2 linked regions of the Bombyx mori genome follow. The protein of the gene in region 1 binds, or shares a complex with, the protein of each later gene. Links are inferred from orthologs where the notes say so. Each region holds a gene or a part of one and is shown on either strand. Other genes may lie near its edges. The genes, in order: phosphatidylinositol 4-kinase beta and Golgi resident protein GCP60.

Region 1 (3,830 bases):
AAACATATACCTTTATGGCATTTAGCCTGCGAGAAAATGAGATGAAATACTTGATGAACGTTTTACTTCACGTTTTGTTTGTTATCGATAGGGGTGAACTAGCTGACAGACCACTAGCTGTTGAAGCGGCTTGAACTCAACGAGTAATCAAAGAAGATACGAGTTGATCTTCAGAGCCGACCTCCCTGGCGTCATTAAGAATGACAATCTCATAACGACTTTTTCGCGCAATAAAACTGTGCGCAGGCTCTTTCTTTCGTGTTTTGTCTTTAGCGACCATATTGACTATAACCATCTGTTTGAATAATCTAAAGCACTATTTTATAGGGCTGTCTTTCACAAGTTTTTTATTACTGTTTTATCAATAGCAATGTACCACTAAAAGTCGATTAACTATGAGCACCCTTCATCTAACTCAAACAAAAAAAAATCAATTTCCAGAATAATGCATGTACGTTCAAAGTTATTGAGTAGTTTGGTAAATTAATTATGATTGATTCGTAGTTACGAATCGATTTAATTGTGTGTTCTCGTAAAATTAATTTGCCATTGTACGTAATGGTATTGTTAGTGATCTAATAGATGCCTTAAGCGTTATGCACTAGTGTATAACACAGAAGCGTTTTCATCTTTCATTTTAATTTCATTCGTTTAAAGCTAAATCTACTCATTATTATATAAATACAATTTCTAATGATTTAATTCCTCCACAATTACATAACGATTTATGGTAATGAAAGCGGATCTGTTTAAAAATATCTATGTGCATATTAAAATTTTATGAATGTGTTGATTTAATACGAATGAAACTATATGAAAAAACATAAAAGAAATTACATTATTATAATGATGTTACTAAACTAAAAAGTCTGATTCGCTTACACTTTTCTTGGCGATTTAGTGAATGACTCGTCAAAACTTTTGAATTAATACACTTTCACTCGGCAGGCGATGTGTGTTTAAGTCACTACCGTAAAAACTGAGTTCTTAGAACTCAGGTCTCGAGATGGGTGCCGATATTTACGTTATAGATGTCCATGGGCTCAGGTAACCACTTAACAACGGGTGAGCCGTGAGCTCGTCCACTCGTATTTATCGCTGTCAATCGCCTGCCTGACGTCAACCCTCCTTGGAAATGCTTTTTTTGGTAGATTGGCCGCTACCAGTCGGGTAAGGCGCTGGATATTTGCATTTAAATCCCCCTGTCGCCTTTTACAACACCCCTGGGAAGATAAGGGGGCGGAACTATTCTTAGCCGGATCCGTGCGGACTTACCACACCTCATAAGCAATATAAAAAAGCCAGATTAGGATCGGAGGTTTTGTTCTCGTGTTCTTAAAGTACGTACCTGCGACACGCTGTCGGGCGCGGGCGCTCTGTGGTCGTAATGAGAGCTGAGTTCATCGTCGTCATGACTCCAGCAGTCTCCGGTGTCCACGTCGTCCAGTGCCGAATACAGGGAGAGCGCAGGCCACTCAGGCACGAGGTTCTCCTCACTCTTCGTATGTCTGATGGGGGGAGAGTGGGGAGCTGGTGGCGCTGGAGGCAGCTGGCGAGGAGGAAGAGGCTCGTGCCCGTCAGTCTCTAGTACCTCCACGTACATTATGTACGGAGCCTGTGAGACAAATGTATCAATGTAATGTATTCAAATAATACAAGCCTCTGGGTCTGCGGAGGGACTTCGGTTCCCTCTGTATTTTGTACCGTATGTTCCATGGGGAGTGCTCTGAGGAATTGTTCGAGATGATACCGGCATCTCGTTTTTACCATCGCACCGCCCGCCACCGGAGTAGAGTTCATCCATACTACCTGGAGCCACTGCGGTCATCCACAGTGCGTTTCCAGAGGTCTTTTTTGCCACGTACCATCCGGCTATGGAATGAGCTCCCCTCCACGGTGTTTCCCGAGCGCTATGACATGTACTTCTTCAAACGAGGCTTGTGGAGAGTATTAAACGGTAGGCTCTGCCCCTGGCATTGCTGAAGTCCATGGGCGACGGTAACCACTCACCATCAGGTGGGCCGTACGCTCGTCTGCCTACAAGGGCAATAAAAAAAAAATAAAAAAAAAAAAAATAAAAAAAAAAAAACAGATAATTAGTTTATCATTCATCTTTTACAATACAGACGTGTGACCAAACTCACGGCCCACCTGGTGTTAAATGGTTGGCGGAGCTCATGGACGACACAACGTTAATATATATAAATATTTATTCTATGATTAAACAGAACTTTGTCTGTATATTAAATACATTTATAAGAATTGTTATAATTTCTTTTTGTTTTTTGCTTAGATAGTTGGACGAGCTCACAGCCCACCTGGTGTTAAGTGGTTACTGAAGCCCATAGACATCTGCAATGTAAATGCGCCACCCACCTTGAAATATAAGTTCTAAGGTCTCAGTATAGTTACAACGGCTACCCCACCCTTCAAACCGAAACGCATTACTGCTTCACGGCAGAAATAGGCGGGGTGGTGGTACCTACCCGTGCGGACTTACAAGAGGTCCTACTACCAGTCATTTACGAAGAGACGTCATTGCCTCGACCACTAATCTTCGATTTTTTACATGTCTATTTTTGCGTTTATTTGAGCATCGAACAAGGTGACTAGAGTAAAGTTTTTGTGCGTAAACAGTTTTGATTAGACTTTAAAATTATTTCAAATCAGCGAAATTTAGTTACATAACAAATTAGTGAATCCAAATTTCTTAACTTTCTTAACAGCTCAAATTCCGCATACATACATTCATAGCATTATTTAATCAAAATCCAACGCGGCTAGAGCCTTGGTCGAAATTCCCATATCTCCTTGGCAACATAAACAACTCACAATAAGCAACTCTAACAAAATTAAAAACAAACATTTCTTATTTATTTCTCCGTAAAGCCATTGAATAACGTCATAATGATAGTAAAGATAAAATACTTAATAATATTAAGCTATCGCTAGAATGTTACCGGTTTGGAGACATCTTAGATAATTCGATTATTTAATACGAGTACAATGAATCAATTAAGCTATTATACTAGATCGTGTTATTCAAGCAAATAGTTTTATAATATGTATTTGAACCTCTCTAAGGCTGAATCTAGAATAGACAATATTCTATTATTATAATTTTTACTTCCCTGTTTTTTTATAGCAGTGTTAATGAGCATAAAGCGGATTTTGAGTTAACGGTTCGTTTGAGTGACACAGGGATGTCTATAGTGTATTTAGTTCTGTAGAGTTAAATTTTCATTCGGGTTAACCGAAAGTTTCACATCACTACCTCACTGTAAAACAAAGTCGCTTTCTCTGTCCCTATATCCCTATGTATGCTTAAATCTTTAAAATTACGCAACAGATTTTGATGCGGTTTTTTTTAATAGATAGAGTGATTGAAGAGGAAGGTTTATATGTATAATAACATCCATTAAATAGTGGAGAAATCAATAATAAATTACAGTTTCCGAAGCGAAGCGACGGCGGGTCGCTAGTATTAACTAAAATAACTAACTAATTCAAAATATCTCTGATTCAATCACAATTAAATTCATGTCGTTTTAGAAAGAAAAAAAAAGGAATACGGATTTAGTCGTAGCTTTAGTTCGAAGTACCTACCACAGTTGTTAACCCATTGCGATTTATTGATATTATAATATCGCTGTCGTAATTTATATACTTTAAAGTAACTAAAACAGTCAGCTTCCGATCATCTAAGTCTCACTTACACTTTAAGAGACTTGTTTTCAAGCCAGATCTATCGATAAAGGTACAGCTACAATTAAATGAGCCACATAAACTTTTTAAAACTGATTGTTAATGCATTTTTTACTGCCCTACGA
Region 2 (4,518 bases), on another chromosome or scaffold:
ATCAAACATACTTACACTTGTTGTTCTTCCGTTATTTTATTACTTTGCTGCTTCTGTTTCTCTAGCATGACTCTATTTTGAAGTTCGATTCGAGATCTTTCTTCTTCTTCTCGTTTCAACCTTAAAATTATTACCTAATAAATCAAGTAGACTGGCCAATGGCTGTAATGTGCCTCCAAAATATATTTATAAAATATATTGTTTTTATCTTTCAAGCAATATTATTTACGAAATTGCAGTCACAAATTCAAATTGTGTGTAAAATACATAAAATAGGATCTGGAAATTTCTTTTAGCTTTAAAGCGAGCTTTTTTTTTTAGCCATATAGATAGGCACAGAATTTGGTCAATAAAGTTTAAATTTCGTTGTTAGGTAAGTCTTCAATGTAATTCTGTTATCGATCTCATATCTCTATACAGCATTTACTTGAAGGAATCTATCAGTTCCAATCTACCAGCTTCAAACAAACAGGTAATGAAACAGGAGGTAGGCTTTTTGGTGTCCGTAAATTGGATTATAATAAGTAATTGTGGTTTGGACCTCATGTCTCAAGGTGAATGGTGACATTCATGCCTATGGCCTCCGGTAACCTCTACACATCATGTGGGCCCCGAGCTTGTGCACCCATATAAACAATAAAAAAGTGAGGTTGTGGACTCTTTCAACAGTCTATGGAAGAAAAGAAAAAGTTTAAATTAAAAACAAAACCTTGCCAATGTCAGTTTTTTAAGGCAAACTATTTTTGAAGGGAAGATTTTGTAATGTGCCCCAAAAACCAAGAAGAAACAAAGACATCAAATGTAGTAAAAAATGGTTAATTTTTTAAACTTACTCTTGTTGCATCTTTTGTTCCTTGTCCTTCTGTATAGCTTCCAAATATGGCTTGAACAATGGACAAAGTCTGTTGATAATAAAACATCATTCTCAATTTACGACTAGTAAGTTTACAAATGATTCACATTTTAGGCCGACATAAAATATATGAGTAAAATAAATGAATAAATAGAATAAATAATAATGAACAGAATAAATATTCTCATTATCTAAAACTCTGGTAGGACACTGAACTGATTTCAAAGCTCTATTGGACAAGCTCTTGTCTAACACAATTTATATAAATTCAACTGTAATTTTTAGATATAATAGACTTAACTAATAGAGTAGATATATGTTAATTTAAATTTACAGTCAATCCAAATAACAACAAAAATATTCTAAGCAAAACTAGGAATCTATCTGTTTTATTAAGTTAAAGGTATTAAACCTGTAAGTCCACATCATTGTATATTTTATCTTTGACTGTATGATTTTTTTGTTATATGGCTACATAGAATTCACAAAGATAGTCAGTCTAGTAAATAAGTGATAAAACAGCTGATACTGACATACATTGCTGATACTTTAACTCATTTTACAGATAAGAAAAATACACTTAAAAATATGGGTTAAATATATTGCGTGAGCTATATTATTTTTGATTATTCACAGATAGGTTATGAATGAAACTAATTTTCTCCAGGTTATCAGTGTACACAATCATCCTCCTGCTAATTTACTGTTTTTTTAAATTTTTTTATTGCTTAGACAGGTGGATGACTTCTCAGCTCACCTGGTGTTAAGTGGTTTAAATCAATACACACTTTTTAATTTTGGAAACTGTTACTTTAACGATTAAGTATTAAATGCAATTTAAAGTTCTTGTGGCTTGACACATCTAGTGTGTATTTGGGCATGGCAGAATGTAAATCCTTCAGGCACTATTAATTAATTGACGTATTAAATTGTCTACAGGTTCAGAAATAACCCTCACAATAAAAGATAGATATCATGTAATTAGTCTAGCTAAAAGGCATGATTTGCATAATTACTGATGGCAGGGCACATTTTCAATGTGAGTGACATTTACATTTTGATGTCTATAGAGTACAATAACTTAACAAAGAATGTGCTACGAGCTTGTCCAGCAATATTAGGAATATAAAACATATTATAATTCTCACCTGTCTAAAGCATGGACAAAGCCAGCCATAGCCTGTATTTGAGACATTTGACCTAATGCTTGCCAAGCTGCATGCCTATCTCTCCCTATCACATCCAAGACACCCAGAGGTGGTACAGAATTGGGATCAAATGGACCGTGCGCGGTTTGTTGTGTATAGGCGACCAGTTTCAGCCTGTCTTCATAGCTAAGATGTATTGCTTTTCCTTCCTTTTCTAAAAGAATAAAATTTAATTTTAGCTTCTTGACATTTTTATATTAGGTTATCTATCCATACCTTTGTTTTCCTTCTCTAATTTCTAAGAACATCATATCAGAATCATTGTTTTGATAAATGTGTGTAGCGGTAAGTTGTATGCCCATTACCTTTATAGAAAAAGACTCCATGTTTATATACTTCTTTTAGGGGCATTCCCCACTTCCTTTCTTCACTGTCGACAATGCCTTGATCTGTCTCTAGCAATACTTTTTCTGGATTAACTTTTATATTACTATCGATTTTACTAGCCATCTTATGTTTTTCTGACAGACTGCTGTACGCATTAAAATCATAGACCAAAATAAACCACAATCTCTGCTTTTACAGCGCAGTTTCATTTTTCCAAACGGAAAGACGAAGGTATCACACCGTACAGCCTAATTTTTAGTATATTCTGTTTTATGAACTGTTCACTAACTGTTGGAGTTTGAAAATATAATAGCAGGCAACACATGACACATCATTGCAGATTTCGAATATTGGAATTATTTTAAATATTTAAAAAAGCAGATGATTGTCTTCTCGTAAGTGAAGTCAAGGACTTCTCATCTAGACACGGTCAGAGCAGCATCTAAGAGTATTATAAAGATAATAATTTTATAATGGTGTAACAGTGTTCAATATAATTATAATGAAGCAGTGTGTTTTTAAATAGACCCTCATAAACCTACAAAACCCAATCCCCTCAAATTTAACCGTCCAACACTAACCACAGAAAACTGTAATGTATCTGCGGATTTTTTGGTGGGAACACGCGGAGTGAAGTTGGTTGAATTGTTTTATTTTGTAAATTTAGTGTTTCCTCGGGTTTAGATATGTAATAATCGTAGTTTATTAACTGTTATCATCTGAGAAAATGCACAAATGTGGGAAAATTAAACAAAGTCTTCGAACGTAACTTCTCAGGCTCTTTCAAAAGTCTCAGTCATCTCATCTCGTTTCATTTAAATTCATCCCATTTGATAAAAATCTGAAATTAATAAAATTTATCCCATTTCGCTTTATTTTATTTTTAGTATAAATAAGAGAAAATAAGAATTTGAACTTAAAGGTCTTAATACCAGGCCATAAAGTCTTTAAAAAACAAAGAGTATTGTAGTCTATGCCTAGTACTTATCTGTTTACCGAAATTAGTAAATTAGACTTAGTGTTTATATACGATACTGTGTTATTTACCATTAATTTATAGCAAAATATTAATTAAGAAATTCTTTACTCTTTGTCGCTGTGTGCTAAAGAAAAGTAACAATGACTGCCGTGAAACTATTTCATACACTTTTAATTGTTACTATTCACAGCACAATGAAATAAAGTAATCATTTAAAGCAGATTGAAAACGTGTATTTGGGTTTGACGCAATACTAAAATCATGGAAGTTAATCCATTAAACATATTTTTTGTGAAATCTGACAGCAAGGGCGATAGGCTTTTGTTTAGATATCCATATACGATAGAACATAAAGGTGAGAATAAACAGAAGAGATGTGGCAGGCACAACCCTTACGCAATTACTTCAACAGAGGATTTACTCCAGAATTCACAATCTCAAACGTCGAATATTTGCAAAGGTGAGGTCCTTCCAAATACATGAATAAAATATCCATCTACAGCATCAATATCTGTAACTGTTACAAGCTTCTTTCTCTTCACTCTCTTCTAATTAACCATTTTTCATTTTTACATCAATAATTTTGCTTAATTTATCATGACCTCAATTGAATGTAAACATAAAAGTAGAACTTGTTATGTTTACAATTATGTTGAAGATATTTGTTGTTTAAACACCAGCAGTCATACTGCACCAAAGACAGCTGTATATTATTAAGCACTTCTTCCTATTCGTACACTCTTGACAGAGTGGTCATGCATCAGTCGGATGCGACCTGCTCATGACTCTCGTGGGAAATAAGTGCAGTGGTTTCCCGTTGCCTTCTGCAATATTATGCACAGTACATAGATAATTGTTCATTAGTTACTTTTCTATAATAATTATTTTACATCAGAAAATGATTTTATTGTATATACCCATAACAAAATATATTTTGTAAAATAGATTAGCTATTGCTTGTCACATTGTGTAATGACTAATAATGTCCCTCACAATCAGTGAAATATTGAATTGGTTTTGCATACTGACACCTTTGCACTTATTACGTTGTTGAGTAATAAACATGTGATTTTAATGAGTTTGCTACACCACCTGCCTCTGTTCATATTAATTTGCTTATGGGATTGTGTAACTAGTAGTAAGCGTTTTCA

The links.
Region 2: the proteins of phosphatidylinositol 4-kinase beta (region 1) and Golgi resident protein GCP60 are in contact, whole or in part, in an NMR structure (PDB 2N73), measured with the Homo sapiens proteins. The link is inferred for Bombyx mori from reciprocal best matches to the Homo sapiens genes PI4KB and ACBD3. Residues at the interface, in NP_001317650.1 of Homo sapiens: Val37, Gly38, Val42, Ile43, Asp44, Pro45, Val47, Ala48, Gln49, Lys50, Ala51, Cys52, Glu54, Val55, Leu56, Val59, Lys60, His63; in NP_073572.2 of Homo sapiens: Gln245, Ile246, Ala249, Leu250, Gln253, Thr254, Gln257, Phe258, Tyr261, Gln265, Tyr266, Leu276, Leu280, Gln283, His284, Gln287, Tyr288, Gln291, Leu292, Val295.

Annotation. Positions count from the first base shown.
Region 1 is NC_085115.1:3,737,607-3,741,436, forward strand, and holds part of phosphatidylinositol 4-kinase beta, read right to left. Parts: intron 1,616-3,830; coding exon 1,349-1,615; intron 1-1,348. UniProt on the Homo sapiens protein: Phosphorylates phosphatidylinositol (PI) in the first committed step in the production of the second messenger inositol-1,4,5,-trisphosphate (PIP). May regulate Golgi disintegration/reorganization during mitosis, possibly via its phosphorylation.
Region 2 is NC_085124.1:9,512,219-9,516,736, reverse strand, and holds the start of Golgi resident protein GCP60, read right to left. Parts: upstream 2,890-4,518; 5' UTR 2,512-2,889; coding exon 2,367-2,511; intron 2,216-2,366; coding exon 2,002-2,215; intron 903-2,001; coding exon 834-902; intron 121-833; coding exon 16-120; intron 1-15. Other genes in the region: GATOR complex protein NPRL3, read left to right, coding at 3,629-3,827. UniProt on the Homo sapiens protein: Involved in the maintenance of Golgi structure by interacting with giantin, affecting protein transport between the endoplasmic reticulum and Golgi. Involved in hormone-induced steroid biosynthesis in testicular Leydig cells.